4 linked regions of the Diceros bicornis minor genome follow. The protein of the gene in region 4 binds, or shares a complex with, the protein of the main gene of each other region. Links are inferred from orthologs where the notes say so. Each region holds a gene or a part of one and is shown on either strand. Other genes may lie near its edges. The genes, in order: THOC6, SARNP, THOC2 and CHTOP.

What was found.
Region 1: CHTOP (region 4) and THOC6 share a complex: the UniProt entries of both Homo sapiens proteins name them as parts of the transcription/export (TREX) complex. The link is inferred for Diceros bicornis minor from reciprocal best matches to the Homo sapiens genes CHTOP and THOC6.
Region 2: CHTOP (region 4) and SARNP share a complex: the UniProt entries of both Homo sapiens proteins name them as parts of the transcription/export (TREX) complex. The link is inferred for Diceros bicornis minor from reciprocal best matches to the Homo sapiens genes CHTOP and SARNP.
Region 3: CHTOP (region 4) and THOC2 share a complex: the UniProt entries of both Homo sapiens proteins name them as parts of the transcription/export (TREX) complex. The link is inferred for Diceros bicornis minor from reciprocal best matches to the Homo sapiens genes CHTOP and THOC2.

The regions. Positions count from the first base shown.
Region 1 is NC_080765.1:45,503,563-45,510,422, forward strand, and holds THOC6 (THO complex subunit 6 homolog), read right to left. Parts: upstream 3,006-6,860; 5' UTR 2,964-3,005; coding exon 2,925-2,963; intron 2,348-2,924; coding exon 2,232-2,347; intron 2,135-2,231; coding exon 2,070-2,134; intron 1,980-2,069; coding exon 1,876-1,979; intron 1,787-1,875; coding exon 1,749-1,786; intron 1,668-1,748; coding exon 1,619-1,667; intron 1,498-1,618; coding exon 1,426-1,497; intron 1,340-1,425; coding exon 1,237-1,339; intron 1,152-1,236; coding exon 1,102-1,151; intron 1,012-1,101; coding exon 949-1,011; intron 850-948; coding exon 739-849; intron 653-738; coding exon 518-652; intron 438-517; coding exon 357-437; 3' UTR 281-356; downstream 1-280. Other genes in the region: HCFC1R1 (host cell factor C1 regulator 1), read left to right, coding at 3,371-3,465, 3,782-3,838, 3,943-4,071, 4,296-4,431; TNFRSF12A (tumor necrosis factor receptor superfamily member 12A), read right to left, coding at 5,476-5,531, 5,615-5,749, 5,997-6,101, 6,840-6,860. UniProt on the Homo sapiens protein: Component of the THO subcomplex of the TREX complex which is thought to couple mRNA transcription, processing and nuclear export, and which specifically associates with spliced mRNA and not with unspliced pre-mRNA.
Region 2 is NC_080756.1:12,864,852-12,872,343, reverse strand, and holds the start of SARNP (SAP domain-containing ribonucleoprotein), read right to left. Parts: upstream 3,003-7,492; 5' UTR 2,912-3,002; coding exon 2,876-2,911; intron 1-2,875. Other genes in the region: ORMDL2 (ORM1-like protein 2), read left to right, coding at 3,193-3,326, 4,220-4,394, 4,563-4,714, 5,302-5,437; DNAJC14 (dnaJ homolog subfamily C member 14), read right to left, coding at 6,775-6,985, 7,196-7,298, 7,381-7,492. UniProt on the Homo sapiens protein: Binds both single-stranded and double-stranded DNA with higher affinity for the single-stranded form. Specifically binds to scaffold/matrix attachment region DNA. Also binds single-stranded RNA. Enhances RNA unwinding activity of DDX39A.
Region 3 is NC_080781.1:113,613,067-113,620,755, reverse strand, and holds the start of THOC2 (THO complex subunit 2), read left to right. Parts: upstream 1-4,678; 5' UTR 4,679-4,694; coding exon 4,695-4,765; intron 4,766-7,689. UniProt on the Homo sapiens protein: Component of the THO subcomplex of the TREX complex which is thought to couple mRNA transcription, processing and nuclear export, and which specifically associates with spliced mRNA and not with unspliced pre-mRNA.
Region 4 is NC_080743.1:57,860,572-57,868,109, reverse strand, and holds the start of CHTOP (chromatin target of PRMT1 protein), read right to left. Parts: upstream 3,012-7,538; 5' UTR 2,721-3,011; intron 1,477-2,720; 5' UTR 1,460-1,476; coding exon 1,395-1,459; intron 57-1,394; coding exon 1-56. Other genes in the region: S100A1 (protein S100-A1), read right to left, coding at 4,391-4,534, 5,614-5,754. UniProt on the Homo sapiens protein: Plays an important role in the ligand-dependent activation of estrogen receptor target genes. May play a role in the silencing of fetal globin genes.

The sequences.
Region 1 (6,860 bases), on a different chromosome or scaffold from region 4:
GGGGCTGGTGCCCTCCCCGCCCCAGGAGGCTGGGCAGGGGCTCACTGGGAGCAGGGGCCAGCTTTGGGGACCAGGCGCCCCAGGTGGTGGCGGGAGCAGGTGGGGCAGAGCTGTCTATTTTTCTAATCTACATAGGTCTATCTTTTCTAAGCACTAGGCCCCCTGGCATGCTCTACGACAGGGATGGGGGTGGGTATTTATGTATCAAGATCAGACAGAGTAATATATAAATCATTACACCGACCTGGCCTCCATTCTTGGGAAGAAAGCACATGGAACAAAAGCCTGAAATTTTATTTGTAAAAAAAGAAATAAAAACACTGCAAATCCCTGGAATGGGAGACTGCCGAGGGAGATCAGAAGGACAGGGAGAAGGCGCGGTAGCCCAGATTGGTGAAGACATCCACCCGGCAGCTGTTGCCCGCAGCTGTCAGGACCTGGAGGCAAGGTGGGGCTGACTGACCTGCCCACACTGCCCTGGCCTCCCAGGCTCCCCATAGCCCCTTGCCGGACCCACCTTGCACTCAGGGGCTGCTGGCTGCTGGTTGAGGCTGAGGCTGAGTAGCCCTGGGGAGGAGCCAGGCACCTGGGCCTTGAGCTCCCCGCTCAGTTGCCACTGGTTGACGCAGCGGCCCTGGCCAGCTGACAGAATCTGTGGGGGGCAGGGAGGGGGATCAGCGTTCAGGGCTGGAGAGGAGAGCCAGACAGGGGTGGCATAAGCAAGACAGAGGGCCTCACCAGGTCCTGGTAGAAGGTGACGTGCTTCTGTGGAGCCCGCATAGGGAAGATGGTGGTGGGTGTGGAGGATCGGAGGTGCCACAGAGTAAGTGCTGGGCCCCCTCCACAGACCTGGACAGAAAGGTGGGGGTCCCCAGCCACTGTGAGCCACAGGCCCTCAGCTGGCAGGGCCCAGAGCTGCCTCCCCATCCTGCCCTCTGCCCGGCTCACCATCCAGTCTGAGTCAGTTGCCAAACATCCGATCCAGCGCCCATTGTGGGGCCTCGAGCACTCCTGGGAGGGAGCAGGGGAAGAAAGGAGGAGGTGAAGACGCAGGGGATGCCCAGGGAGAAGGAAGGGAGGACGCGTGCAGTGTGCCCTCACCTCGTGCTTATAGACCTCGATCGTCTGGACCTCCTTGGCCGTGCGAAGGTCTGTGAGGGAAGAACCATGAGAGGCATCCTACTTGCCCCAGTCTCCCTCACCACCGTCTTTCCCTCCAACCAGACGTTCCCTTACCCCAAAGTCGCACAGCTCCATCCTCGCCCCCTGACAGCACCTCGGGGCTCCGCTCCCGCAGTGCCAGGCAGTGGATGTAGTCCGTGTGGCCCCGGAGGGCCCGCTACAGGGAGAGGGCCAGTGTCGGGACAAGATCTGGGAAGAAGGCCCGGTGCTGCCCTGACCACCCCAGCTCCGTGGCCATCTCACCGTGAAGGCCCCCGTCTCAAGGTCCATCGTATGCAATTGACAGTCTCCCCCCGCCAGGATGAGGGAATTCTCCTGCAGAGGAAGGCGAGGTGGGGTCGGAAGTCAATGTCAAATCAGGACAGGGAGAGGGGAAGGATCAAAGATTGGGCCAAGAAGAGGGCAGGGCAGAGCCCCAGTCACAAAGGGCTCAAACCTTGGGGACAAGAAGCAAAGCATTGATCTCAGGCACTTCCAGGCTGGTCCTGGGGGAGGGAAAGTGGCGTCAGCTCTGCTGAAGGGTACCTTCACCCCCACATGCCCCTGCCCACATGGCCCTGGCTCACCTGTATGGGGGCTGACGACGCCACAGCTCCTTACAGCCCTTGGTGGAGGAAACACTGGGTGACTTCAAAGGTTCTCTCTCTCTGGGGCTGGGCGCCCCAGCACTTCCCCCAGCCCCACGCTCCTTACCTTCTTGAGGATCTCCACCCAAAGCCAGGACTTCACCTCCCCATCCCCAGCGCTGAGCAGCTGCCGATCAGTGGAGACCATGCTGTAGACGGGCCCATCATGGGCTAAATGGAAACGCAGACCCTGAGTGACCCTGTCCTGCTCCCCTCCTCCACGCTGGGGTCCCCGAAGCCAGACTCAATGGCTGCACCCACCTTGGAAGGTCACCACGGGCTTCTTACTTTCCTCTTTGGCCTCGGAGCTCAAAGCAGCAGACAAGCTGAAGGGAGAGCGGAGAGGGTCAGAAGCAGGGGGCATCAGTACAGGAGGGCCAGGTGCCAGAGCTAATGGGTGGTGGGGAGCAGGGCCAAGGGTACCTGAAGATGGCTATCTGCCCGTAATTATTGCCGGCGGCAAGGAACTTCCCGCAGGGTGACACACTCTGGGAGAAAATGGTCATGTGCAGCCGCTGCAGGGCCTGAAACACTTCCACCTGTAGGGAGAGGCTGGATGAAGACCATCTGGGACCTCCAATCCACAGACTCCTTCCTGCTTCCCCTGCCGCCAGTCCAGCTTCCCACTGCACAGACTTCTCAGCCCTCCGTTGAGGCGGCCCACCAAGTGGGCACCTGCCCTCACAGTCCCAGGGGTGGCTCCAAGAAGAGGGCGAGGCGAGTAGAGTTGAGGCGTGATGCCTATAGGACCTTGAGCAAGCACCCAGCCTCTCGTCCAAATTTCCTCAACTGTCAAATGGACCTCACAGGACATTCTGTCAGATTGGATGAGGTACTGTACACAGAGTTTCACACAGGGGTGGCTCGTAGAAAGCGCTTAAAAAGTGGCTCTATTACCCCAATACAGAAAAACATGCTTACAATCCCTATCCTCCGACTTTCATGTTAGTCCTTTTAAGGATGTCTGGGTGATTCTCCCACCCCCGCGTCAGAGTCCGAGTCCCAGCCCAGAGCCCACCCAAAACAGGACTCAGGGCACGACTCCTCGCCCCCCCCTTCCGAGCCGGGCATGGACTACAAAGCCCAGAAGACACTGCGCAACCACGCCCGCCTCACCTGACCGAGAGGCACCGCCTGCGGCACAGCTCGCTCCATCACGAGAACTACAAGTCCCAGAGTGCTCCGCGCGCGACGCAACCTCACGAGTCCGGACGTGCCCGCGATCCGCTCCGCTTCGCGGCACCCCACCTCTCCAAGACCGCTGGCAGGCCCGGCGCGAAGGCGGCCGCCGCGTACTAACCCGAGCCCCAGGAACTGAGGTGACCGCCGCGAAGATCCTCGACACTAAGTAGCGCCCACCGCAGCCCCCCCTGAGCCGGATCCCCTCCCCCACCCTGCCGAGCAGATCCGCCTTCCAGCCACGCGCCGCCCGTCTTTCGCGCCTGCGCGGAACCTCCCCGCTGCGCGCGCCTACGGCCGCGCCCCTCGCGTTGGGCCACGCCCTTAGAGGCTCCGCCCCTGTCGCCTGGATCCCACCCCTGCCCTCGGGACCCCGAACCCCAATGATCCTGCAGCAGCCCCTGGAGCGAGGCCCCCTGGGTCGGGCCCAGCGCGATCCGCGGGCTGCCTCGGGGTCGCCCCGAGGCGTGGACACGAGGTGTGTGTGGAGGGGCCCTGGCTGGGCCTGGCCCAGGAGTGCAAGAGCTTTGGCTGGGGGCTCAGGGGAGGTCTGCAGGGTGACACGCGATGGGGCGAGTCGGCAGGGCTTGTACATGAGCTAAGACAGGGTTGGAGGCTCGAGACTGAGACTTCCGCGGCAGGCTGCTGGATGGCCAGGGAGAGAGGGGTGACTTAGGTGTCAGCTAAGACAGGGATGTGCTGGAGGCTCCTGGCTGACCCTGCAGGCTCAGGCAGGCAGATCCTCGGGATGGGGCCAAGAGGGTGGGGTGCACCTGGTTCTCTTTTCTTCCCAGCTCCCCTCTCCGAGGAGCCGTGCCCATGAGCACCAAGCGGCGCCTGGAGGAGGAGCAGTGAGTTTGGGGGCAGGGAGGGACTCCCAACAAGACCTCAGGTCCCCATCAGACTGCCTCCCCTCTGAATATCCCACCCTGCTTGCCTCCCTGTCTCTCTCTAGGGAACCCCTGCGCAAGCAGTTCCTGTCCGAGGAGAACATGGCCACCCACTTCTCTCGACTCAGCCTGCACAATGACCACCCTTATTGCAGCCCCCCCATGGCTTTCCTCCCAGCTCTGCCCCCACTCAGGTAGGCACTATCCACCATCCAGGGGCTGGGTCTTCTGGAGGATCATACCCGCTCCTGGGAGCTAACCTCCAGGCCCTGCCTCATCCTGCTATTTTTAGCTTCTAGCCAACTTCTGTTTCCCATCTTGGCTTCTTGGAAGGTGCCTACAGCAGGAGCCCCTGGTGGGGGATGGCTCTGCCAGGCCAGCCTCAGCCCTGTGCCCTGACTGTCCATTCCTCTTCCAGGAGCCCTTGCTCTGAGCTGCTTCTCTGGCGCTACCCTGGGAACCTGATCCCTGAGGCCCTCCGGCTGCTGAGGCTGGGGGACACCCCCACCTCCCACTACCCTGCAACCCCAGCTGGGGACATAATGGAGCTCTGAGTGCTGGTGGGCACTGCCCCTGCCCACCTTCCTTCTTCCCCACGACAGGGAGACCAGCACCCCCACGAAGGGACCAGCTGCCCTGCTTTTCCTCCATGACCTTCCCCTAACAGAGGAGGACACTGTGCCCACAGAGCCTGGGGTGGGAGGGGCAGGAACCTGGGAAGGGAGGCATTCCCCCCCCCCCACCCCACCCACAGGAGAACTGAATAAAGATTGCTGAGCAAATAAAGGTTTCAGTCTGGAACCTGGGGCCTTTGGGAAGAGGGGGAGGGCTGGGGCGCTGGATGCTGGGATTTCTCCTCAAGATCTTCCCTGGAAAACGGTCAGGGCCCGGGCCAGGTCCTGGCAGGCTGGGCTCAGGCATTGAGAATGTGTGAGTCAGAGCCTCACCCCCGCCCCCGCGGCTGACTCACTGCTCCCGCCAGCTCTGGGAAGTCGGGCTGGGGATCAGGACACTCTCCGAACCATTTAAAGTTAAAGATTCTTTTATTAATAAATTCTCCCTCCCCTCCAAACTTTCTCCCCAAAATAAATATCCCCCCCCCTTTGGGGATTTGGGGGCAGTGTCTTAGGGCCAGCCCCCCCTAGAGGGCCAGCCCCCTAGTGTTAGGAACAGGTCCCTAACCCCCCAGGGTGAGACCCCGTGGTGGAATTTCAGTACATCTGAGTGGGTGGGGCCTGGTGTTGTGTCTGTCCCTCAGGTCAGCCTGGCCCCCAGGCCATGGCGGGGAGAGGGACCCCCTTGTGCAAATGCTGCAGTTCCTTAGTGTCAGCTGTCTGGTGTGAGCCAGCGTGGGTCTCCTTTTCTGTTCTGGAGCCAGAGACAGGGCAGTCAGACACCTTGGAAGTCTCCTCGGAAGCCTGGGCCCAGACCTCAGAGCAGTGATTCACCCGAACCCCATCCTTCCACACCCCTGTGGTTGGAACAGCCTGGCTGGCTCTGGCTGTGTGTCTGGGAGGTAGGGGCTGGCTCCAGAATGAATGAATGAATGAATGAATGATGAGTAGGTGGGGCCTCCTGCTGGCAAGGGGCGCTCACTGTCACTGGATCAGCGCCACGCCAGGACAGCCCTCCCCGCCGGTCTCCTCGATGGGGGCTGCAAGACAAGCAGAAGGGTGGTCAAGAGCAGAGGAGAGGTTGGGGAGTTATGGAGGCGGCGGGCGGGCTGGGCACACTCACTGGTAAACTTCTCTCTCCTGCGGCACCGTCTCCAGACCAAGAAGCCGGAAAGCAGGCCCAGCACGAGGGCCAGGCTCAGAGCGCCCCCCAAGATGGGCCACAGCAGCCGGAAGGAGGCCGGAGGGGCCGCAGCGCCTGGGGGCGGGACTCGAAGTCAGACCTTACCCCTCTCCGGCCCAGCCCCGCCCCCTAGACCTGAGCCTGAAGCCTTTCCCCCACCGTGGCCCCCACCCTGATCCGAATCCCTTCCCTACTCCCGCCTCCCGCGTCCTCGCCCCCGCCATTAATTTCCCAGATCTGAAGCTCACTGCTTCCCTCTCCACCCCAGCACCCCCACCCCCAGTCAGGGGTCCGCTCGCCTCTGGCCCCGCCCCCCACTCACAGCCCAGGCAGAAGTCGCTGTGCGGTCGCGCCGGGCAAGACGCGCAGTCCATGCACTTGTCGAGGTCCGCGCTCCAGGAGCTGCCGCGAGAGCAGGGGGTGGTGCCTGGGGAGGGGGCCGCGGGTCAGAGGCTGGGGGCGGGGCGCGGCTATTCTGGGGGCTGAGGTCAGGGTCGGCCGGCTCGAATAACGTGAGTCACCGGCGCCCTCCCCCCGCATTCCTCACAGGTGACCGCACGCCTCGACCGGGACACGGCGGCGCGGAGGGAGGGGGCGTAGCGCGGGACGCGGGGGGGTGGAGGGGGATCAGGTCCCCACAACCCCCCCTGCCGCCGGCGGGTGACTCACTCCCGGGCACCGGGCCCGACCCCGGTCCCCTCCCCCCGCATAGCTGGGCACTGAAGTCACCGGATGGAAGGGGGCACCCCACATGGTATAGGGGGCACAGACCCCCGAGGCTCTCGACACCCCTCCCGACTCTTAGGTCACTGGAGCTGGGTAGACCCGGTGTTGACCTGGCTGGGGGCGTGCCCCCTCACCGGAGGAAACATCCCGCCCTAAACTTTTTCTCCACTTCCGAGTCCGGACTTTCAGGACAGAAGCCCCCCGAGTTAGAGAGGCGGGAAAACAGGCCTGAATCGTGGATGAAGCTCGAAGCGGGATGGGACTTCCCCTGGCGAGGGAGCGCAATGTCTGGAGACCACCTGACCCTCGATCCCCACGTCCGCCCAGTCACCCCAGTGCTGCCCCCTCCTCTAGGCCCCCAATGGCGACCTCCCTATCCCGAGCTGGGGGTTCCGGCCCCCACGCCCTCCCGCCCGGCCCCCGCCCCCGCCAGGCGTACCTGGCACCGGCTCCCCGGCGG
Region 2 (7,492 bases), on a different chromosome or scaffold from region 4:
GTGCATCTATGACATGCAACTATCTACGGGGGCTTTGGGGGAAAAAAATAAATAAATAAAATTAAAAAAAAAAAAAAATCTAACCGGTGAAATCTCTCCCTCTCCAGACCCCATTCTCGGTACTGCCAAAAGAACACAAAACTGATCATATCAGCTCCTCCTTTCAAATTTCCAAAGGCTCCCCATCTTCTGCCTACATGACAAACACTAAACACCTTACACAACTTAAAGGGCCCTTTTCAATATCACTCCAATCTACCTTTATAGTCACACAGTTCACCGACTTTCCTTTCCATCTTCAACCAGTAACATATACGCGTTACGCTTCAATATTACAAATGTCTCATTGTTCTAAACACTCTGACACTAGTTCTGACACTTTGACCTTGTCGTTCTCTCCTTGCAGTAGTCCTTTTCTTCTTCTTTTTTTTTTTTGGTGAGGGAGATTGGCCCTGAGCTAACATCCATTGCCAATCTTCCTCTTTCTGCTTGAGGAAGATTGTCCCTGAGCTAACATCTGTGCCAATCCTCCTCTATTTTGTACATGGGAGGCTGCCACAGCATGGCTTGATGAGTGGTGTTGTGCAGGTCCGTGCCCAGGCCGCCAAAGCAGGTGATCTTAACCACTACACCATGGGGCCAGCCCCTGCAGTAGCCCCTTTGCTCACCATTGACTGGAGATCTGGTACTATTGCAGTTCAAGGAATTTTCACCCACAATTCAGTCTCTTTCCAACTGTGTTAGAACGACTGCATTTCTACAGAATCATCAGAAATTTGCAGTTGACGTGAACTTACATATCAATTCAGATAGAAAATATTTTTCCTTCCTACTTCAAAGCTTGTTCCTTTCCTCTGAGAACCCTACTAAAGCCCCAAATTCTCCTAGTAAAAATGGAAAGACTTTTTAAAAAAGAGATAAAACCCTAAGTCAACCCAAAAGTCAGGATCACTCCATCAAGATCAACAGTGGAACCAAACATTAACTGTCCTGGAAGTTAGAATGAAAGGCATGGGTTCTTAACCGGAGGTCCATGGACTCCTCAGGGCTATAAGGTAGTTTTATGAAGCCCCTCAAATCGCATGCAAAGTATGTGTACATGCTTTTTTCTGGGCAGAGGGTCCATACCTTTCATCAGAGTTTCAAAGATATCTGTGACCTCCAAAAGGTTAAGAAGTGTTCTAGAGAAAAAGCAAAGACAAGCAAATGTGATTAAAAGAGTGAATCCTTTTCAGGCTGTCAGGAGTGCCTCATGCTCTTTCAGTCTATAATACCTGAAATCAGGTCAAAGGACATTATCCAACCAAAATCAAATTTAATATAGACCTGACAAACACAGGTTTCATGGAAGAAGGAACTCCATAAACCAATACAAAAATCCACAAACGCAAGTCACAAGGCTGATGACTTAACTTCAGGAGCTTCAAAAATGGGACTAATCGGAAGAAAACATTAGATCTTCTATTCATATTTCCTTTTTATCTCATTCATTCAAAAATTCCTTTTCTGTACATCTTTCATAACATACATAACAGTATGGCAGTACATAATTTATATAAGTAAGTACTATACATATAATGGAGGTGACTGCTCAATTTTTTTTACTTATCGTGATATTACGACACTACCGATATAATCTACACATTTCAGTACCGCTAAATTGACAGTAACTCCAGGATAACACAAAAACCCACTAGTATACTTTAGAATCCAAGCATAAGAAATCCATTAGCTTTCACAGAAAGGCTAATTGGTGTCAACCAATAAGTGACTAAAAGAAGCTCTCCCTATCCTTACTCTCACACTTTTTTTTTTTTTAAAGGATCAGTTTTCGGATTCCGCTAAATCAGCCTGGTTTATCCAAGGTTCCCAGAACGATGTGACCAAAACACCTGATGGGAAAACTACTTGTGAAACCACAAATGGACAACTAATCAAGATATTCTCAATTCACCCTAAAAGAAACTACTCTTTTCTTCCAGGAAAATAATCAACTAAATGTGAGAAAACTACCAAGATTCCCAAAAGACACAACTTAAAACAGCTTCTGTGGTGGAGAGTGGCACCCAGCGGAGACACGAACAGAGGCAAGGTCCATCCCCGATATGAAACGGGACAGAGATAACCCTAACCTCGGAAGTGCTTTTCCAAAACATCCCAGCTCTGAGCGAGTTGTCCCTCGGGTAGGGGATGCGGGGGCGGGGGCGGGGGGAGGCTGGCGGGAAGAGAACCGCGTGAGAGAACGCGAAAACTTTTCGGTCTGCGGGATCCGTGCCTTCACTAACTCTAAGGTCTCCGAAACCCAGGCTTCCACGCGGAGGCCTATCTTCGGAGGCTTCTCCTCAGGTTTCAAAGTTCGCCCCGGGGGCGTAACCCCACCTAAAAAAAGGAGTGGAAGCATTTTCTGGATCACGTTTGAGACCTAGACAGACGGAAAACACAAAGGTGCCACCACCTGCTAACGGGAATCTCAGCTTCGGACGACAGACAGGGGAGCATCAAGCCAGGGAAGAAAAAGGGGTGCTAGGTCCGGCGTGGGGCGAAGAGGAGCGGACCACTGACGTAATGCAGCTTCGAGGAGAAACGAGGAGGAAGGATAACAGGTTGAAGGCGCTTACACCAGCCGGTGGGGAAAGGAAACGGACGACACAACGATGAGGAAGGGAGCCGGAATAACGCCAGACAGCCGTGAGAAGAAATGGGAAATTAGGCAAGGCGTATGGGAAAGATAGGAGGCACAAAAGAAAAGAACTACGAGGGGAGCCGGCAAACGAAGTGGAAAAGCCGGTAAAGAGAACATGTAGGAAAAGGCGCAAGCCACCAGCAGAATTCAGTCCCCAGAGAGCCCAGCTCAGCCCTTCCCCGTTCCCGCTACCTTTAGCTTGTGCAGCTCCACCGTCTCCGTCGCCATCTTGTTACCCCTCCACTCCGCCAGGCCCCCACCCGCTGCCTCCGCCTCCCGGAGCTCCCGCCTGGGCGCAGCCAGCCACGGCCGACCAATCGCTGCCACTCTTACTCCCACCTCGGACCATCAACTCTCCCCGTTAGTCAACAGCTGGCGTCGCTCTCACTCCTCTAAGCAGCTCTCCCCTCCTGTCTCTGAAGGTGGGACAGGGTGGAGGGCGGCTTCTGCACTTTCTGAACGACTTAAGTGGCGACCAATTGTGCGTCTCCAATGCAGACCGCCAGCCAATGGGTGGCAGCAGCGCTGATTCTGCTCCACCAATCGGGAGAGTGCAGATGGGCGAGGGCGGCTGCTTCCTGGAGATCGCAGGTGTGGAAGCGAGCCCTGCGCCCCAGGCTGGACGGGCTTCTGAAGCAGGCAGGTAGGGGCTGCCGGGAGACTGGAACGGGGTGCCGAGAAAAACGGTGGGAGGCAAAAGGGGAGGGGGCGGTGAGTGGAGCGGCGGCGAGTTAAATACCGAGAGAAGAGCGCTGAAGAGAGCCCGGAGGGGAGCCAACGAACGAGAGAGGGAAGCTGGGAGGAGCACAGGGCGGGTTCAATACTAGGATTCAGGGAATTTCAGGTAGAGAGGGGCGGATAAGAGCTGCTTCTTACTAGGCATCATCAACGGGCCAAGTTCAGACGACCAGAGCCGCCCCTGAAGTCGGGGCTAGGGCTCCATCTCTCGAGACGCTGAGCTTAGGTCTCATCCTATCCAAAAGCCTTGGTCAAAGTCTGGCAGCGCCCCAGGCTTGAGAGAAGGAATTGGGGTGCTGGCTGCTTACGTGCCAAGAGGTTGACAGAACCGGCAAGCCCCTGAGGAAAAGGTGGGGATTAGAAGTAGCTTTACCCTTCTTTCTCCTCCGTAATGATTCATTGTTTCCCATGACCCTCTTCTGGAATTCTGGGTGTATGTAACCTCTCATGATTTCTTATTAACGTCTTCAGGAAAGTAAAGTGAGATACTAATGTTTCCCTTGCTCCTTGAAGCAGGTGCCCCAAGCTTAGGCTTACTCCTTCAAGTTACAGTTGAAGTGTAAGGATCAGAGTAAAAATTACCATTATATGTCTCTAAAATGCAGAGAGGACTCTTCGTGCCTTTTAAGTTTTTTCCCCCAAGTCTTCAGTTTTTCCTTTGTGCATGATGGGGAAGTTCTTTCATTCTAATAGAGTTCAAGGGATTTTGGCTATTCAGAAGACAACTTCGGGAACAAACTCAAAGAGGGGTTGAGAGGAAATTGAGTTGGACTCCTGTCTGATCCCCTACTGTGGTAGGATGAATGTGGGGGTGGCACACAGCGAAGTAAACCCCAACACTCGAGTGATGAATAGCCGGGGCATCTGGCTGGCCTACATCATCTTGGTAGGACTGCTGCATGTGGTTCTACTCAGCATCCCTTTCTTCAGCATTCCTGTTGTCTGGACCCTGACCAACGTCATCCATAACTTGGTGAGCACTAAACCATGCCCTTTTACCCACCCCAGGCCTTTCCAAACCAAAAACAATAAAATCATCAATTATTTGGGGATTTATGTCTTCCTTTTGGGATCTTAGCATAATTCTTTGGCTGAAGGACTACTTTCTGCCCCCTCACACTGCCCCCTTCCCTCCTCCCAGGCTATGTATATCTTCCTACATACTGTGAAAGGGACACCCTTTGAAACTCCTGACCAAGGAAAGGCTCGGCTACTGACATACTGGGAACAGATGGACTACGGGCTCCAATTTACCTCTTCCCGCAAATTCCTCAGCATCTCTCCTATTGTACTGTGAGTCCAGGGGGAGATATGGGAGATGCTCCAAGAGCCAGGTACAAAGGCCCACAGGGAAGCTTTAGAAAAGCAGACTACTCATTCAGACCCTTTGAAGATATTATGGTATACTAGGTCTAAATCTAGAGAGAGTAGTAAAAAGTAGAATACAGTACTCAAGCATCCCTTGCTGCCTCCTTAGTGGTAGGGGACTGAGAAAAGATAAAATACCAAGTAAAACCAAATAATTTTACACTTCCAAAAGAAGTGAATAAATAAAGGTAGAACTGATGTAAATCTGTAAAAACTAACAGTGGGGAGTGGAAGCAAAGAGGACTCTAACAGTCATATAGGCTAAAACTGCTTCAGCTGTCATTTGCCACATGTCATTAACAATTAAAACACACACAAACTAACTTATAAATCTCCAGTTAAAGGTGCTATTTGATTATCTCCCCAACCCCAAAGTAAATACTGTTACTAGAGCTGGACTATTTCAGACATCCTAGGACTATTTCATTTAAAATAGAAGAGAAAGTCACTGGAAAGGCATGAATATGGATAGGGGAGGCCAACTTCACTCAACCTATTTCTTCTCTCCCCAGCTACCTCCTGGCCAGCTTCTACACCACGCATGATGCTGTTCACTTCCTCATCAACACAGCCTCATTGCTCAGCGTACTGCTGCCTAAGTTGCCCCAGTTCCATGGGGTTCGTCTCTTTGGCATCAACAAATACTGAGGGATGGGGCTGGGGACGACGTTGGAACAAAGGACTGCGACATCCTTCCCTTCTCCATACTGTCTTCTATGTCTTGAAAGCCTCAGAACTATACAACCTTTCCCAAACTCCCAAGAAGAGAATAGATTGGAAAATGCAGCTCCCTGGGCCAAGCCCTGGTAGGAACAGGTTTCTTTGAATCAGGAAAGGCAGGTGAGGTAAGGACCAAATCATTCTCATCCACAGCAGGAAGCCATGTTTGGGCAGCTTTGTTTGGTAATTAAGTTTTTCCATAGCTTCCACCCCCACTACCTTCTAGCTCTGTTCTGCTATGTATGTTCCTTATAATAAAGATCATTTTTTTTCAGATATGGCTACAGTTTGGTCAGCAGGAAGGGTAGGAAGATGTCCTCATGAGGCTGGGGAAGAAAGATGGAACAGTGATTTACTGTACAAAACTTCTTTAAGGTATTTTTTTATCCCCTCTCCCTTGGTCCAGTAGGAGGTGCCCTTCACGCGCAGCTAACACTTAGTAGAGAAAGGATTCTCAAATGAGAAAAAGGGCTCCAGCTATATGGGCAAAGAAGAGAGGGAAGATACAGGTTGCCAGTTATATATTTATAGAAAGATAATCCCCTGGCTTTAAATAGATATGTACATACAAATATGAACAAACTTAAAAAAATACAAACCCTTGGATCATAAGGGTGCCGCTGGGAGCCCCTTTATCCTTCCCCCTCACCCAAGGGCAAAGGGCATGAGTCGCTTTTTAAAAATTACTAGTTTTGGCCATCCCTGCAGCAACAAGCATGAAGTTGGGTGATGACCCACAATGGTGAAAGTCAGAGGAAAAATTCAGAGTTCCCACTCTCTGAACTCTAAATATCTCCTATAATTAGGGCTACATGCTTTCTTGTTCTGTCTTTTATCTAGTATACTGGAGTAAAGGAGGGGGCTCCCTTCTGAAATGGGTCAAGAACTAAGATAGTTTAAAAAGAGGAGAAAAAGTCATCTGCTCTGGAAGCAAAAGACAAGACAAAGGCATACAGACCCTAGGGAAATACCCGGTTCCCACACCACTATGGGGAATACTGTCCAGCCCAGGCCCAGGCCCTCGATTCTTTGCTCTAGACACCCCCTATTTCTTTGGTATTGTCAGAAGACAAGATTCAGTTCCTGGGTGCTGGTGGAGGAGGGAGAGTGGTTCCAGGGCTTCCTACAAGTACTGAGTGAACAATTTGAGCTTAAAATTTTCCCTTTTTTAAATATTTAAAAATAAACAAATCAAACTCCATCCTGTGCTGTACACAGCCCTTTTGACTCCCTGACATTGATCTGAGGAAAGAAGAGACGGGGTGTCAACGTTGGAAGGGCCTCCTCACTTTCTTCCGCCGCTTCGGTTTGGCTTCTCCCTTGGGTACTGTGCTGTTGGGCTTGGAGGCTGCAGTGGCCCCAGGGCCAGGCTGAGGAGCTGCAAAGAAGTTTCCGTTAGACATCTGGCCTGGGGGTACTTGAAAGATCCGGCTCAAGAAATCCTGAAGGTCAGCAGGAGGGGCATCTGGGGTGGCTCTGAGAGGAAAACAGAAAGAATAATGAGACGAGATATTAAGAGTCATATGGTTTCCTATGTTATCTATTTATACCTAAGTTAAAGATCTACTGGGTTAGTTGCCAAACTTCTTAAAGGGTGAGACATCTAGGTGTCCTAAACAGCATGTTATCTGAAACCATATTCAGAACTAGAATAGTAGATAGATTATTGAAAGAAATACCACCTACCTCTGCCGCCCACTGGTGCCTGGAATCCGAGAACCAAATGAGATGTGATAGGGGACTCTGTGAGTATCTGGGGAGATTCCCACACGCTGGCATCCAGCCCACTCTGCAAGCATGAGAAATAATTAGCCAAAACATCACAGTTTTGAGCATTTATGAGCCCATATGTCTAGGGGACAGATGCGTACCTGTGATGTCATACACTTTTCCATCCATCAGCGCAAAGTAGGTGATCTTGAGGCCCAACATGCTTGACTCTGCCCAAAAGTCTCCTTCCTCAGCAGGATGCAGCCTATTACA
Region 3 (7,689 bases), on a different chromosome or scaffold from region 4:
TTTTGTATGTGAGCTGCCACCACAGCATGGCCACTGACAGACAGTGGTGTAGGTCTGTGCCCGGAAACTGAACCCAGGCCACTGAAGTGGAGCACACCGAACTTAACCAATAGGCCACCGGGGCTGGCCCCCTCTCTTCTTTTTTATAATCTGTCTTGCTAGAAGTTTGTCAGTTTTATTAGACTTTTCAACCAACCAAATTTTGGTTTTATTAATCTTTATTAATCTTTTCTATTGGACATTTTCCTTTTCATTAATATTTACTATTTAAAAATGTCCTTATTTCTGCTTTCTTTCATTTACTCTGTTATTGTTTTTGTAACTTCTTAAATTGGATGCTTACCTTTTTTCATTTCCAGCCTTGTTTCTTTAATAATACAAAGATTTAGGGACATAAATTTCTTTCTAAATGCCACTTTGGCTGCAACTCATCATTTTTTTCATTAGTTTTGATATGGAATATTTTCATTATTGTTCTGTTCTAAGTATTTTCTAATTTTTAGTATGACTTTTTTCTTTGACCTGTGATTTATTGCAAAGTATATTTTAAATTTTCCAAACACAGGTTTTTTTTTTTTTTTTTTGTCTTTTTGTATTGGTTTCCAATTTAATTGCATTGTGGTCAGAAAATGTGAGCTGTGTGAGACTGATTTTTTGAAATTTGTTGACATCCGCGCTTTTTTAACCTAGTATGTGATTAACTTTCATAAATGTTCCATGTGCTGGACCACCATTAGATAATGCCTTGCTCTTATGTGAATTAGGAGAATGTGCCCTTTCTTCCAGGTGTATGCAGCACCACACCAGAACACGTGGTTTGGCAAGTAGAGTGTGGGATGGATTTTGGCCCCTGCTTGTCCCCTTGGCTAGGTGCTTTTGATCAGTGAACAGTCTGTCCATGGAGGCCCGTTCACGTGTTCTTGTAAAGAATGCTTATTTTCCAGTTGCTAGGTACAGTGTTCTATGTATATCTACTAGATCAAACTTGTTCATTTGATGTTCAAATTTTCTACATCTTTACTGAGTTTTTTGTCTGCTTCATCTATCAATTTCTGAGAGAGATGAATTAAAGACTCTCACTGTGGTAGTGGATTTGTCTATCTCTCCTTGTATTTCTGTTAATTTTTGCTTCACATATTTCAAAGTGGTTGAGTACATTCAAGATTAGGATTATTACATTTTCCTGGTGAGCTGAAATTTTTATCAATATATGGTAACCCTCTTTAAATGTAGTAATTATTTTTTTCCCTTAAAGTCTATTTTGTCGGATATTAACCTAGCTATAACAGCTTGTATTTGCCTGGTGTATTTTCCCCATCATTTTTACTTTCAAACTTTCTGTGTCCCTGTGTTTTAGGGATGTCTCTTAAAAATAGCTAGACTTCTTCAATCTAGACTGATAATTTTTACTTTTTTTTTTGTGAGGAGGACTAGCCCTGAGCTAACATCCATTGCCAATCCTCCTCTTTTTGCTGAGGAAGACTGGCCCTGAGCTAACATCCATGCCCATCTTCCTCTACTTTATATGGGATGCTGCCACAGCATGGCCTGACAAGCGGTGCATCGGTGCACCCCTGGGATCCAAACCTGCAAATCCCAGGTCACCGAAGCAGAGCACGTGCACTTAACGGCTTGCGCCACTGGGCCGGCCCACAATTTTTACTTTTAACTGGGGCATTTAGTTCATTTACATTTTATGCAATTATTGATATATTTAAGTTTAAATCTACCATCTTCCTCTAATCTCTCTGTCCTGCTTTTCCAAAGTTTTTTTCCTCCTTTCTTGCCTTTTTTGGATTGATTGATATTTTTCTCTTTCTCTCTTTCAATTTTTTTCCCCTCTGGTAGTTTGGAAGATATATAATATCCTTTTATGTTTGTAGTGGTTATCCCAGAAAATTTAATATGCATATTTAACATAATTAAGTCTTTAGTTAATAAAAATCCATTACCAATACTCAGTATTCCAGGGGACAGTCCCACAAAGGGCAAAGCTTTTGCATTCATTCTTCGATTATTTTACTATTTTGTCTTGTTTTGCCCTTATGTGCTTCCTTCTTGGTCCTGTTATCTGTTTTCACTCAGATGGTAACAAGACTGACCTTACAATTACCTAAAATCAACCTATCTATGCATCAGACTGTCAACACTGAAACTACCCAATCCCTAGCCTTCATCAGAGACTTCATTTCCTGCCTAGTTCATCAGTAGCCATGAACCAGTGAGATCACCAGAGAATAGTACTCCCAGCTGCTGAGATGATACCAGATGCTGATAGCAAAGAAAAGGCAAGTCAACAACAAGGATGCAAAAGACATGATAGCTTTGCAATCTTATAGAGCAAAAAGCCAATTAGCGCTGAGGAATTCCTAAAGGAGTCATCATGCCATGTAAAATTAGTTCTGCAGGCTCCAGGAGAAGGGAAAACCAAGGCCTCAAAGGGCATCACTGCAGTCAGGTCACACCACATTTGTGGCATACTGAGTAGTATGCATACTGCACACAACTCAGTGTTTGGGAGGAGAAATCACTGTGATGCAGTGGCAAGGTAAGCCACAATACAGTAGAATATTGTATAGCTCAGTGGCTCTCAACAGGGGGCTATTTTGCACTCCAGGAGACATTTAGCAATGTCTCAAGACATTGTGACAACTGGTGCGGGGGGTGCTACTGACATCTAGTGTGTTGAGGCCAAGATGCTGCTAAGCTGCCCTCCGCAAAGAATTATCTGGCCCCAAATATGAATAGTTCCCACGACTGTAGATAATGCAGTGAAGTATACATAAGCAGCAAGATAGTGCTTCTTGTATCACAGAAGCCATCTTGTAATAATGATTTCAAAAATTTTTAGGGAAGGTGTTGGTACAATGAGGATTCAGTACACCATTCTGTTCACTTTTGAAATATTCCATAATAAAGAAAAATGAAAAGATCAGAGGGCACTCATATCTCTGAACCTCCTTGAAATGGCAAAAGGTTTTTATGAGCAGATATCATTGAAACTGAACGGTGTATATTTTTTAATGGGTGGCTTTAGAATTTCAAAATCAGACAGGACATTAGGAGATTAGATATAGCTGATGAAAAACAATCATAAACAACGTAGCATTTTCCCAGAACTTATTCTGAATATAGCCTACCCCATGAACAGTTTTTCAAAGCAAATGAACTTGGCCCATTTGGCAAAATTTACCAAATTTAGAAGATACTAGTTCTAAAGTTCATATGTTAATATATGTGTAGTAAGATTTTTTTCATTTGGTTTGTCTCTCTTTTCTAAATTTTCTGCCAAACATGTATTTTTAAAACCTTTTTATTTTGAAAAGTTGCACAAATACAACAGAGAAGCCCTGTATGTCCTTCACCTAGATTCCTAAAATGTTAATATGTTACATTTTCTTAATCATCCTATGTTTTTTTCCTGAAACATTTTAGAGTAAGTTGCAACATAATGCCTCATTATCTCTTAACACTTCAGTGGGTGTTTTCTTAAACAAGGACTTTCTCTCACATAACCACAGTACAAATGTTAGACTCAAGAAATTAACATTGATACAATGTTATTACTTAATCTATAGATACTCAAATTTGGTCAATTGTCCCAATAATGCCCTTTTTAGCAAAAGAAAAATGTTTTTTCTGGCTGGGGATCAGTTGTCCTATCTGTTGTTTTCCATTAATCTGGAAGAGTTCCTCAGTCTGTCTTTGTCTTTAGTGACCTTGACGATTCTGAAGAGTGCAAGCTGGTAATCTCGTAGACTGTCCCTCAATATGGGTTTGTCTGATGTTCCCTCATGATTAAATACAGGTTATGTGAATTTTGGCACGATGAACAGTACTACAAATTTGGTTAGTGTCTTTCTTAGCACCTTATCAGGAGGCACATGATGCCCATGTGTCTAATTTCTGGGGATGCTTATTTTCATCATAATTAGGACAGTGTCCGCCATGTTTTCCCACTGTCAAGTTTCTATTTCACCCTTTGAAATAGTTTCTTGTCGGGAGATACTTTGAGACTGTGTAATGTAAACAATTTGTTTCTCATGTACTTGCGCCCCCTAGTTTTGCCTAAGGTTACAACGACAGTGGCAGACACAGTAGCTCAGCACACAGCACTGGTGGCTGCCAGTGTTTTCCAGGGATGATTTTTCTCTTCCTCGTTAGACTGTAGCCCTTGTACTAGCTTAAGGCCTGGCCCATAGTAAATGCCTGCTTCTTCTCGATTAATTTTTTTTATCTCAGCAGTTAGCAGGGCGTATTGTAATTGATCTGCTTATATATTTGTCTTTCCCACAGACTGTGAGCTCGTTGAGGGTAGGCATCGTGGCTTATCGTTTCTCTATCCCCAATGTCTAGCACATACTAGGGGCTTGAAAATCCATGTTTGAATTAGTGCCTGGAGGAGATACTATGGAAGAAGATAGGAGCTAGGAGTCGGCCTGGGGATGGCATTTTTCCTGTTCTAAAGGGAAGCGAGGGCAAGGGTTGCAGAGGGCGCGGCCTGCGTGGGGACCCACGGGTCTCGGCCACCTCGTTGGCGGCAGGGCCTCGGGCTTCCGCGGGGTGGGGACGAAAGTGGGGCGGGAAATCGAAAACCGAACTCGCAGCTCCCGGCATTCCCCGTGGGCGGTGCTCCCCTTTGACCCCTCGCTCGCGTGCTACACATCCGGGCCTCTGCTACTAGTGAGAGGAAGATGGCGGCCGCAACGGTGTTGGTTCCCGTAGAGTGGATAAAGAATTGGGAGAAATCAGGGAGAGGCGAATTGTGAGTGTCCGGGCTGGAGGCGGGCGCACGGTCGGGCCAGGCCCAGGCGTCAGCCGCGCTCTCACACGTGGGGGGTGGTTGGGGGGGAAAGAGGTGCCCCCTCCCCCATCCGGGCGGCGGTTGTGGATGTGGCTAGGAGTTTCGAACTCGGGGAGGAGAGGTGCTCGTAACCGCCGCCGACCTCCTTCCTTCCCTGGCCTCCCCGAAATCCCCGCCGCCCGCCGTAGCCTGCCATCCTTGAGCCTCTTTGCAGAACTCCCGTTTCGCCCCTGCGGGTCCCCGCGCTCCCGCTCGGTCTCTTTTTGTCCCCCTCTTCGCTTGAGCTCACTTGGCTCCTTTCTCTTTACGGGGCCGCGCCGGGGGGGTTCGGACTTGCCATCTCTCTCTGTCCCATTTCTTCACTCTGCACCCGTTCGACTCCGCAGTTTGGAGCCCGGCGCCTCCTCTGCCCGAAGTCCGAGGAGGGCGAACCGTCCCGGACTCCCTCCCCTCCTCTCCGCCCGCCGCCGCGAAGCCCCGGGCGTCGCGAAGAGCCCCGCTTGGCACCTCTCGTCCTCCCGGGGAGCGGTCTCTCGGACGGTCCCGGCCTCGCGCGGCGCCGCTGGCCGTGGGAGAAGTGTAGCAGGGATTGCCGCTTTCCCCGAAGACCTACCAGCATTTCTTTGCTCCGTCTTTCCACCTTAGAGCCATTTCGGGTTGGATTCAACTTTCGTCATTAAATGTTTCCTAAACCCCATTTTGTCCTGGGACTGCAACTAATTTTGGCAACTCTCCAAGGTTCTCGAGTACCTAGAATAACGCGTTTCCTTCAGTCACAAAACTTGTTTTTATTTTTCAGTAATACAGAAAACAGTAATTTGCCATACCCGCGGTTTCCTCGCCCCAAATTTCAGCGCTCATTCTCTCGGAAAGGAAAAAAAAACGTTTAAGCAGTAATACAAATAACTTATTTAAAAACAAATAACTTATTTCTAATTTCCTTTTCTGAATCGCTTTATTAGCTAAAGCTCAACCCTGTTTGAATTTAAACTCGTTAGCCGTTTTCGCCGTTGCTCCCCTCCCTCCCCCACAAGTAGTCAGTTTACGGTTGCTGATGCGAAAAATAACAAATCATTGGAACTTCGTTACTTGGAATGCCACGCGGGGAACGTGTAACTTTGCCAGCCTATATGACCCCCCTCTCCCCCGCACTCGCGCTGCTTTAGGAAGTCTTAACAGTGTGAGCTCTAGAATTGGATTGCCTGGGTAAGCGGCAGTCTTAGCCACTTAACTGGCTGAGTGACCTTGGGTAAGTTCTTTAACCAATTTGACCGCTTCCCCTTGAGTAAATTGGGAATAATAAGTACTCAAAGGACTGTTGTGAAGACTAAATAATGCTTGTAGAGCACTTGGCTTATAGTAAGTGCTCAAGTGATAGCTATTAAAAGGAATATTATTATTTCAATCTTTTGATATTTAAACTTCTCAGGACAGCTCTTGCGCTTAAAAAGTGTCCCACTCAGGTTAGCAATTAATTGGTCTCTGACTCTTTCATGTATACTCTTGTACTCTAACGAATTGAGAGATCCTTGAAGAGTGGGGACTATGTCTCATATTTCTTTTGGCTCACCCCCCCTCCCCCCAGCCTTTCTAGCATATGCTTGGAGTGCTTACTGGTTTATTAACTGACAGAGAAGTATATTTGATAAACATTCATTTTTAACTGTTAGGAGCATTTTCCAAATCCTTGTACGTGCTAGTTAACAAATAGCTATTAAGTCCCTTGTGTCTAGGGAAGGCAAGGTGGTAAGTTACGAAACCAAACCATCGTCTTCGTCTGTATTAGATTAGGATAACTCCAAAAAACTGATAAATCAGTTCACTGTTGTTTTGTTTACTTTTAAAGCCAACTTAGTTATTTAGGGACTGTCATCTTTGTAGATTGCTCAGCTAACTGTTTTTGACAGTTTTACTATTATTACTCTCACTTTAGAATGAGTATCAGGGCTAGGAGGTGAAATTCTGCTTGACTTCTGACTGGCAGTGGTTGGAGAAAAACAAAGTGATGTAGGAGCTTGAAATACCTTAGTAAAAATGGAATTTTGGGTTCACTTTATGTATATTTACAAGACCCGTGCTTACAAGATCCATGCTTTATCCATACATAAAGTATACATAATATACTTTATTTATATTTACAAGATCCATGGAACTATGATCCATCATAGTTCCTGTGTTTGAAGAGCTGCTTCAAAACTGTTATTAGGACTTATACATGTGTAGTTAGTGCATGGCTTGTGGAATGTAGTTTGAATTATAGTAGATCCAAATCAGTATAGTCAGATTTATAGTTGTGTTCTGTTGTATGAAGAGAGTTTAAAGTTGTTAGTTGTGTGACATAATGAAGTATTTTAAGTAGTCAAACACATCACCATCAAGTACTTAGTCTTCATTTATTTGATCTCTTTTCTCTCCTTGAAAACTTGGTTGCATATAGTCTAACTTTGGAGTTTTTGTATCTTGCTAAAGATAGATGTTAGCATTTTCATTTTTTTAGAACAAATGGTGTTGTAAATATATTACAAAATATCCTTTCCTTTGTCTGAAAACAGACCCTCTTAAATATAAACCAGCAACAGGAAATGTTAAAAACGAAGGTGATGTGCCACTAAATTATTAGTGAATCCATTTATAGATTTGCCTTTTAGAATATGACCAATATTTAAAATTATATCTTCGGTGGATTTTTCCTTTTTAATGAGATAAATTAGCAGATGAGCTTTAACTTGACTGAAACTTACCTTTTTTAAAAAAATGCATGATATGTTTCATGAGGTTGTGAGTTCATTTCTTGTCTGTCACTTCTTACCAGTGTAAGTGAGTATTCTGGAAGTTGTAGTCTACTTCAGCATAGTAGTGTTAAAGCGACATATGAGATGTATGGG
Region 4 (7,538 bases):
TCGAAGCCCGAATATTCACTGGCATCGGCTGTTTGTTCTTCAGCATATTAGTAAAGCTTCAAGGTCGAACAAAATGGATGTTTAAATAAAAGCTTTATTACAAAACATTTATTGGCATTTTCATGGCCTGCTAGACCAGGAGCTCCAGATCCCACGAACTTTTAAGTAAAGTGGTACACTTAGATCAAGGCTGATGTGGGTTAAAGACTCCTCTGCTTCCACAAACTTGCAAGAATCAGAAACTTAGAAATGCAGCTAAGTGCAGCACATTCAATCAAAAGTGATAACAAGGGCTCAGGTAACGGCTTTTAGAGAGATGGAAGGCATGAAAAACACGCAATAAGCAGATAAGATGACAACAAGAGACAGAAGATGTAGTTTCAAAGACAAAGAAAGAAAGCCAAAACCTTGGGGGACCTGAGGGAGTATTTTAAGGGCAAATATAAGGAAGGACTAGAGCACCTTCAAAGCCCACGGAAATAACACACTCATATATATTATGGGAGTGTATCACATTTTCTTATATATTTGTTCACTTAGTAACATGTGAACAGAGAATTAGTATATCATACCCTAAGAGTTAAGAAGCACATATGCCTCAGAAAAGGCAAAAATAAACACTGGGGAAATCTTTCAGGGGTCTAACATCAACTTAATAAAATCACTGGTCAAAGGTACTGAATGAACAAAGCTCCTGGAGATAGAAACTGCTGTTAAATACCTTAACTTTTCTTAGCCTCAAATGATTACTTTTTCTGACTCCAAATGATTACTTCTGAAAAAGTGTGATTCGTTCAATCATTTAAGAGCTTGTGAAGACATTCTTCTATTATTCCTGTCAAGGTAAGTTTAATGGAATGGAAGAGAAGAACACTTAATTGTGAAAGAATCCAAAACAAAAACAAACTTAAAGCAGAATGGAAAGAAAGTGAAATGGAGCAAAGCAAGTGCCTCTTACAAGGCCCAAGAATGACATTCCAGGGCCTTTGGACATATTCATAGCTTGCTACCTGCCTCTTACAGGCCAGACACAACACTGCTGGCCTTGGACTGGGCAGCAAGCCTACTGCAGCCAGGGTACCATGCTACCGAGCTGCACCACCCCTGTATCAACGTAAAAAAATGTGAAGAAAAGGGAGGGTGTGAGAAGTCTTTTTAAAATACATCCCACCAGATAAATATCTCAGACAGCTTAACATAAAAATCTACTGATGAGGGGTTTTGAAACAACCGCCCAATCTGTTTTGTGTACCACATAAGATGCAACTAAGAACAGAGGTCTGTAGCCTTCTGTTGGTATTTAGTTTAAAACCGGTTTTTGTGCAGTGGACCCCAAGGCCAATTTAAGTAATGTTTTCTTATGAACGAGCTGAAGTTGCCGTTGGCTGCCTCACCGCTCATTTAGAGACATCTTGGTGGTGCTTTTTAGCACAACTTTCGGCGCTGACTGTGCAGCCATCTTCAAATCCCGAGAATCTACAAAAGGACAATGGGCACAAAGAGCAAATCAGAATAACAACCACCTCATTTCTGCTAGGGCCAAAGGCCCACACTCACAATGAATGAAAAGGCTTGTATCAATGACTACTGAAGATCACACTCGAACTCATTTTGGGTGCTTAAATTTATAAGACAGTTACCGCAAACTAACAAACTTCAAGGCCACAGGACAGAAAATATGTGCCAAAGCCTCCAAAATGGCAGCCTTAGACCTAGCTAAAGGAAGTATAAGAGTTTGGCTTTTAATCTAGAGCAGTGCTTCTCAACCCTGCCTGCAAGGAGCTTTAAAAAAAAGATACAGGGCCACCCGTGGCTTAGCGGTTAAGTGCGTGCGCTCCACTACCAGCAGCCCGGGGTTCGGATCCCCACGCACCGCTTTTCCGGCCACGCTGAGGCCATGTCCCACACATACAGCAACTAGAAGGATGTGCAACTATGACATACAACTATGCACTGAGGCTTTGGGGAAAATAAAAGGAGAAGGATTGGCAATAGATGTTAGCTCAGAGCCGGTCTTCCTCAGCAAAAAGAGGAGGATTAGCACAGATGTTAGCTCAGCTCAGGGCTGATCTTCCACACACACACACACACACACACAAAATACAGAAGCCTGGCCTCAAACCAATTAAACCACAGTCTCTGGTGGTGAGGTCTGCGGATCAGCAACTGGAAAGAAAAAAAAAAAGCGGAATTCCTAGGCGCTTCTCACGTGCAGCCAAATTGAGAACCACTCGTCTAGAAAGATGATACAGGCATAACTAGTTTCAACCTGGCTTTCGACTCCCAAGTAGGGCCTTAGCAAGGGACTAGGGACCCGGGGGAGGGAGTAGGAAAGGTTTCCTAAAGGGGCATTCACCTGGGAGTTAGCTCCCAGAGCGCGCTCTATAAAATGTAACCCTACCGCCCCCATTACTTCCCAACCTTCCCTGAATCCTGTTGTCCTCATTTCATCTCCCTGCCATCTCAAAGCCCTGTCAACACGGCCAAGTTTGCTCCATCTTCCTTCCCAGCCCTATCAAACGCCAACCTTTTCCCTCAGCCCCGCCACCAGTCTCCAGCGCGGGCGCTCCCCCGCCTCCGCGCAGGGGCTCCGCCCCCTCCCCGGGCCCCCGCACTCCGACACCCTATCTGCTTCCACATGCCGTCGCCTTCCGTGCCGCGTCCGCCGGCCCCTTCCGCTCCCCAAGACTTCTCCCCTCCTTCTCACCACAAACACGTACCGAAGGAAACAGACGCCAGTGCTCCTCCCGGGGCTGCCACCACGGCTGCGGCGGGCGGGCCGGGGGCCGGCCGAACCTGAGCAGACGGTGGAGGGGCTCGGCTTCACTTGTGGGCGGTTGGTCAGGTGTGTAAGCGGTAGACTGCTAAGTTAGTTCGTTGTTGCTGGCTGGCTGTCTGGTCGGCCGGTCCGTCTGCTCGCCCGGCCTGCCCTTGCCTGCCTTTCGTCGGTGCCACCACAGCCGCTGCCGCCAACTCCCGCTCGTTGTCCAAAACAAAATGGCCGCCACGCCCAGTGCGGAGTGGGACCGGCTAAAATGGCGCCGACGCAATTACGTCAGGCGTCCGGTCCGCACACGACTAGGGAGCGGGAAGATTTGTGCTACGCCTGCGCAGAGATGGGGGCGGAGCCCTAGTGAGAAGGCGGGGCTTTAGCAAAGGCCCTGTCTGAGGTACACCCCGTGCCCCGCCCACAAAGGGGCGTGGCCAATGGCCTGCCCTTGGGTCTTGCGAAGGGTTCGCTTTCGAGGCAGGGTTGTTCGAGATCTGGGCGGCTCAGAGCGGATTTGGTCCTGATGAAAAAGGTTTACGTGTTTCTTCACTCTCTTTCCGGTTCCCCAAGCCAAGGCAGACCGTCTAAAATTCTTTACGCGGGGCTTTCCTCGGTCTCTTCCTTACCACCGGGCCGAGTAATGAGCGCTGGCTCTCCTCTCGTCATCATTCGCCCTGTTCAGAGTTGTGGAGTGTCATAAACGGCCCAGCCACAGCCTGGGGCCGGTGCTGGGAGCACACGTCTACTGGAGCCTGTGCCAGTCACCACACGCCCTCCGTATTTTCCTCTTCACTTCCCTCCCCAAGTTGGCCTGAATATTGTTAAATCCTTATTTGGGGGGGACCTTTGTGTGCCTGCATCCCCTTGCATGTCCTCCCTCCCCATCTGCCATCCATGCTGAATTTTGATGCAGACCTATACAGGATTTTTCTTATGCCTGGGTGCACAATAAAATGCTCAAATGTTTGAAGAATGAGTAAATCAGCACATCTTCGACCCTTCCTCCCCCCCATACAGGCACTTCAGGATCCTTTCATTTTCTTTCCTAGCATTTTCCTGTGTGTGTTTAATGGTCTAGCATCCTTCCACCTTACTTTACCTAGGTGAGGGTAATGGTCGCGTTTTGTTCACTGCTGTATCCCCAGTTCCTACACAATGTCTAGTACATGGTAGGTCCTCAGGAACTATTCTTTCAAGGTTAAAGGGAAATTCTTTCTTTTTCTGTCTTATAGCTGAGAAGCTGACATCTCCTGTACTTCCAGCTGGAACTTTGAACCCCTACCTTCCTGGGCCATGAGCATTCCTCAAGTAGGAAGGTGTAATGGTCCCTTGATCTCTCTCCAAATAAGACCCCCCCCCCCCAATAAGGCAAGCTGGGATTGAGCAGCCTTCACTTCCCCACTCACTTGCAGACCCCATAGGAGACAGACAGCAGCTGGTGAGAGAGGAGCCTTTAATGAAACATGAGTTGCAGGCCTGGCCCACTACTCTTGCGCCCTTGTTGGAGGAGGGGCAAGGGTGGGAGTGTGGGGAGGGGAAAGTGGGGTGAGGGGGAAGCAGGGCAAAGGGGCAGGTATGGCAGGGTGGAGGGGAAGGGCGCTGCCCACTGGGGCTGTCTGCTCAACTGTTCTCCCAGAAGAAGTTGTTACAGGCCACTGTGAGGGCAGCCACCAGCACCACATACTCCTGGAAGTCCACCTCCCCATCTCCATTCTCGTCTAGCTCCTTCATCACCTTGTCCACGGCATCCGTATCCTTCTGGGCCTGTGGAGGGAAGAGATGGAGAGGTAGGTGTATAGGGAGATGAATAGCACTGAGTCAGGGGCAAGGGAGGTGGCTGATTGGGGAGAAGGAGGCAGAGATGAACAAGAGGGACTAATTATGGGACTCTTCTGCTCCCCTCCTCAAAACTAACAAAACACATGTGGCCTCCTGTTGCCTACAGAATAAGCTCCTTAACAAGGCAGAGTAACAATAACAACGTCAAGTACCGTATGTTGAGTGCCTACAATGCCACAAGCACTACACTAGGAGCTTTACAAGCATTGTCTAATTTAATTCTAACACAAATAGTATGAAGTAGGTTTCATTATTCCCATTCTAGAGAAGAAACAAATTGACAGTTGGTGGTTAAATGATGTGCCCAAAGTCACACAGCTAGAAAGTGGCAGGGCCAGAATTTGAACCCACGTCTAATAAAACCTCAAAGCTGGTACACTTTCTATTGGCTTCTCCTTTACTATATATAGCATGCTGCATATTCTTCTTTCTCCTATGCTTTTGTTCATGCAGTTACTTCCTCCTAAAATACCTACATTTACCTTAATAACCTTGCGATGGAAATCCATAGCTCAAGTGCCACCTCTTTGGAGAAGCTGTCCTACTTTAGTCAGGTTAATATTCTCCCATAAGCCTTTCTGGCACTTCTGTTCAGGCTTTGCGTACTTCCTGAGTGGCTGGCCCAAGGCTTCAGAGGGAGGAAGGTCTCACTGCCTCTGAGCTTCCTGTCAGCAGACTGGGGGCCTCTTTTGGTCCTTCAACTCTGTTCTTTCCTGAATATGTCACTTCCTGGTGTTCATGGTTTACTTCCAAGTGTCAGTCTTTCCCTTCTAGACTGTGAGCCTTGTTATCGATGCATCTACATAGAGTCTAGCACTTTTAACAGGTGACCAATAAATCGGCATTTTGACTTAGGGGAGCCTGGAAAAACCCAGGAGAGAAGCCTGGGAGAGGAAGGAGATGGTTGGTCTGAGCTGGGGTGGGGTGGGGAGATGGCAGAGAGGTGCCCACTCTGTTCCCCCACCCCTTGCCCATTCCACCCCATACCCCCACTCTGTGCTCACGTCCAGGAAGCCAGAGAGCTCGGTCTGCAGCAGCTCTTTCAGCTCCTTCTTGCTCAGCTTGTACTTGTCCCCCTCCTTGCCCGAGTGGGCGTGGAACACATTGATGAGAGTCTCCATCGCCGTCTCCAGCTCAGAGCCCATTGCGCAGCTCACCTACCCACCCCCACCATGGAAGTGAGCTGAGGACCAAGCTCAGGGTATCTGTGGTCCAGTAGAGGGGAGCCCTTAGCCATGGCCCTGGTCCCATAGCTCGAATAGCCATGAGATCAGAGCTCCACTGAAATTTATCCTTCACTGAGATTTTACGATGTGGGAGAACCCAACAGACCTAAATCCAGACCTGTATTCTGTGTCCCTCAATCCATACCCCAGCAAGAGGGAGTCAGGGTTTGGGGCATGGAGGTAGAGCAGCTGGAGATGGGCTGGCTCTGGAGGCCTGCAGAGGAGTCTGCAGTGGCTCTTGGCTGCCTGGGCAGACACTGAGGAGGGTGGGGCAGGCAGGCGGGGGTGGTCACAGGACCTGGCCAGGCTTCCTCTGGCTCTGTTATTATGCTGGACCTTGCCTGCCTAGCACAGCCAAGCTCTGCTGTTGGCAGTGATGGCTGGGCTCCCCTTTATAGCCTTGTCTCTTTTGCCCATCCCTAGCAAGGAGTCAGTCTGGTGCCCTCGGTCAGCCTGATGGAGAGGGTGGCAGCCTGAGTGTCTGGCCCCAGGTTTCATGAGGACGGGGGTGGGGCGGGTCTCACTGCCTCTGAACTTCGTGTCAGCAGACTGGGGGCCTCTTTTGGTCCTTCAAGTCTGTTCTCTCCTGAACATGTTACGTTGGCTTCCCTGGGGTTCACCTCTACTACTTCTAGTTTTGTTCCTTTTACTTCTCTGCAGAATCAGCCCTTCCATCGGGTGGTGGTGGGAAGGGAGAGAGGAATGTCTGAGCCTTTTCCCTGGAGTCAGGGCTCCCAGGAAGGGGGAGAGGAATCCTGTGGGACTTGTCCCTGCTGCTGGCCACTCCCACCCCCAGCCTGACCTAATTGATGTGGGGACAGTGGCAGCAGGGAGAATGGGCTAAAATGTATTGAGGGAGATAAAGGGCTGAGTGCACGGGTCCTCTGAGTTCAAGGGGCTGCGAGAGAAGAGAAAAATGGAAGGGTCTGTTGAGGAGGAGGGACTGCCAAGCAGGGGCCTCTTTGCCTTGGCCTTGGGACAATCAGCCCCTCCATGGTCTCAGGGGGCAGCTCAGGTGTCTCAGATCAGGTGTCCCCATCCTTCCCCAGGCCTGATGGGCTGGACAATGGGCCCTGATCAGATGACATCCCAGCTCTTCAATGGGGCCCTTGTGAGTGTCACCTGAACTCCGGATATGAGAAGCAGTTGTCACAGAGACATGGGGGAGATGGAACCCAAGCTGGGCTGATGGCGGGGATAAGGGGGGTATGTGAAGGAGGGGTGCTGGTGGCTAAGTTATCGGCCCCATCCAGGATGGGCACCTCAAGGTTGCCTGGAGCCCTTGAGCAGCCTGGGATTTTGTGTAGGGGCCATTCTGAAAGGACTTGGGCAGGGAGGGGACAGATGGGAAAGCAAAGAGGAAAGAATTGAGGGGAAGAAGAATCTGGAGGTCTGGGCCAAGGAAGAGGAGGAGGAGAAAGGGGACTCACGTGAAGGGAGGGTTGGGGTTGGGTACAGTATCCTAGTGCCCCCTCTTCCTGATATCACACGGTCCATGCTCTGCCCTCCCCCCCCAGACTTCCCTGGAACCTGAGCTCTTGGCAAGGCTGGGTGGGGGTGGCAGAGAGACCGAGGCTGAAGCAGGGGTGGGCAGAAGCAGCTGTTCCATCTGCTTTCTTATTCTTACCCCACTGGAAGTGAGGCGAGGGCTGGGTCCCCTGCCAGCCTCAGGGAGATTGAGGGAACCTTGGGAGGACACTTGA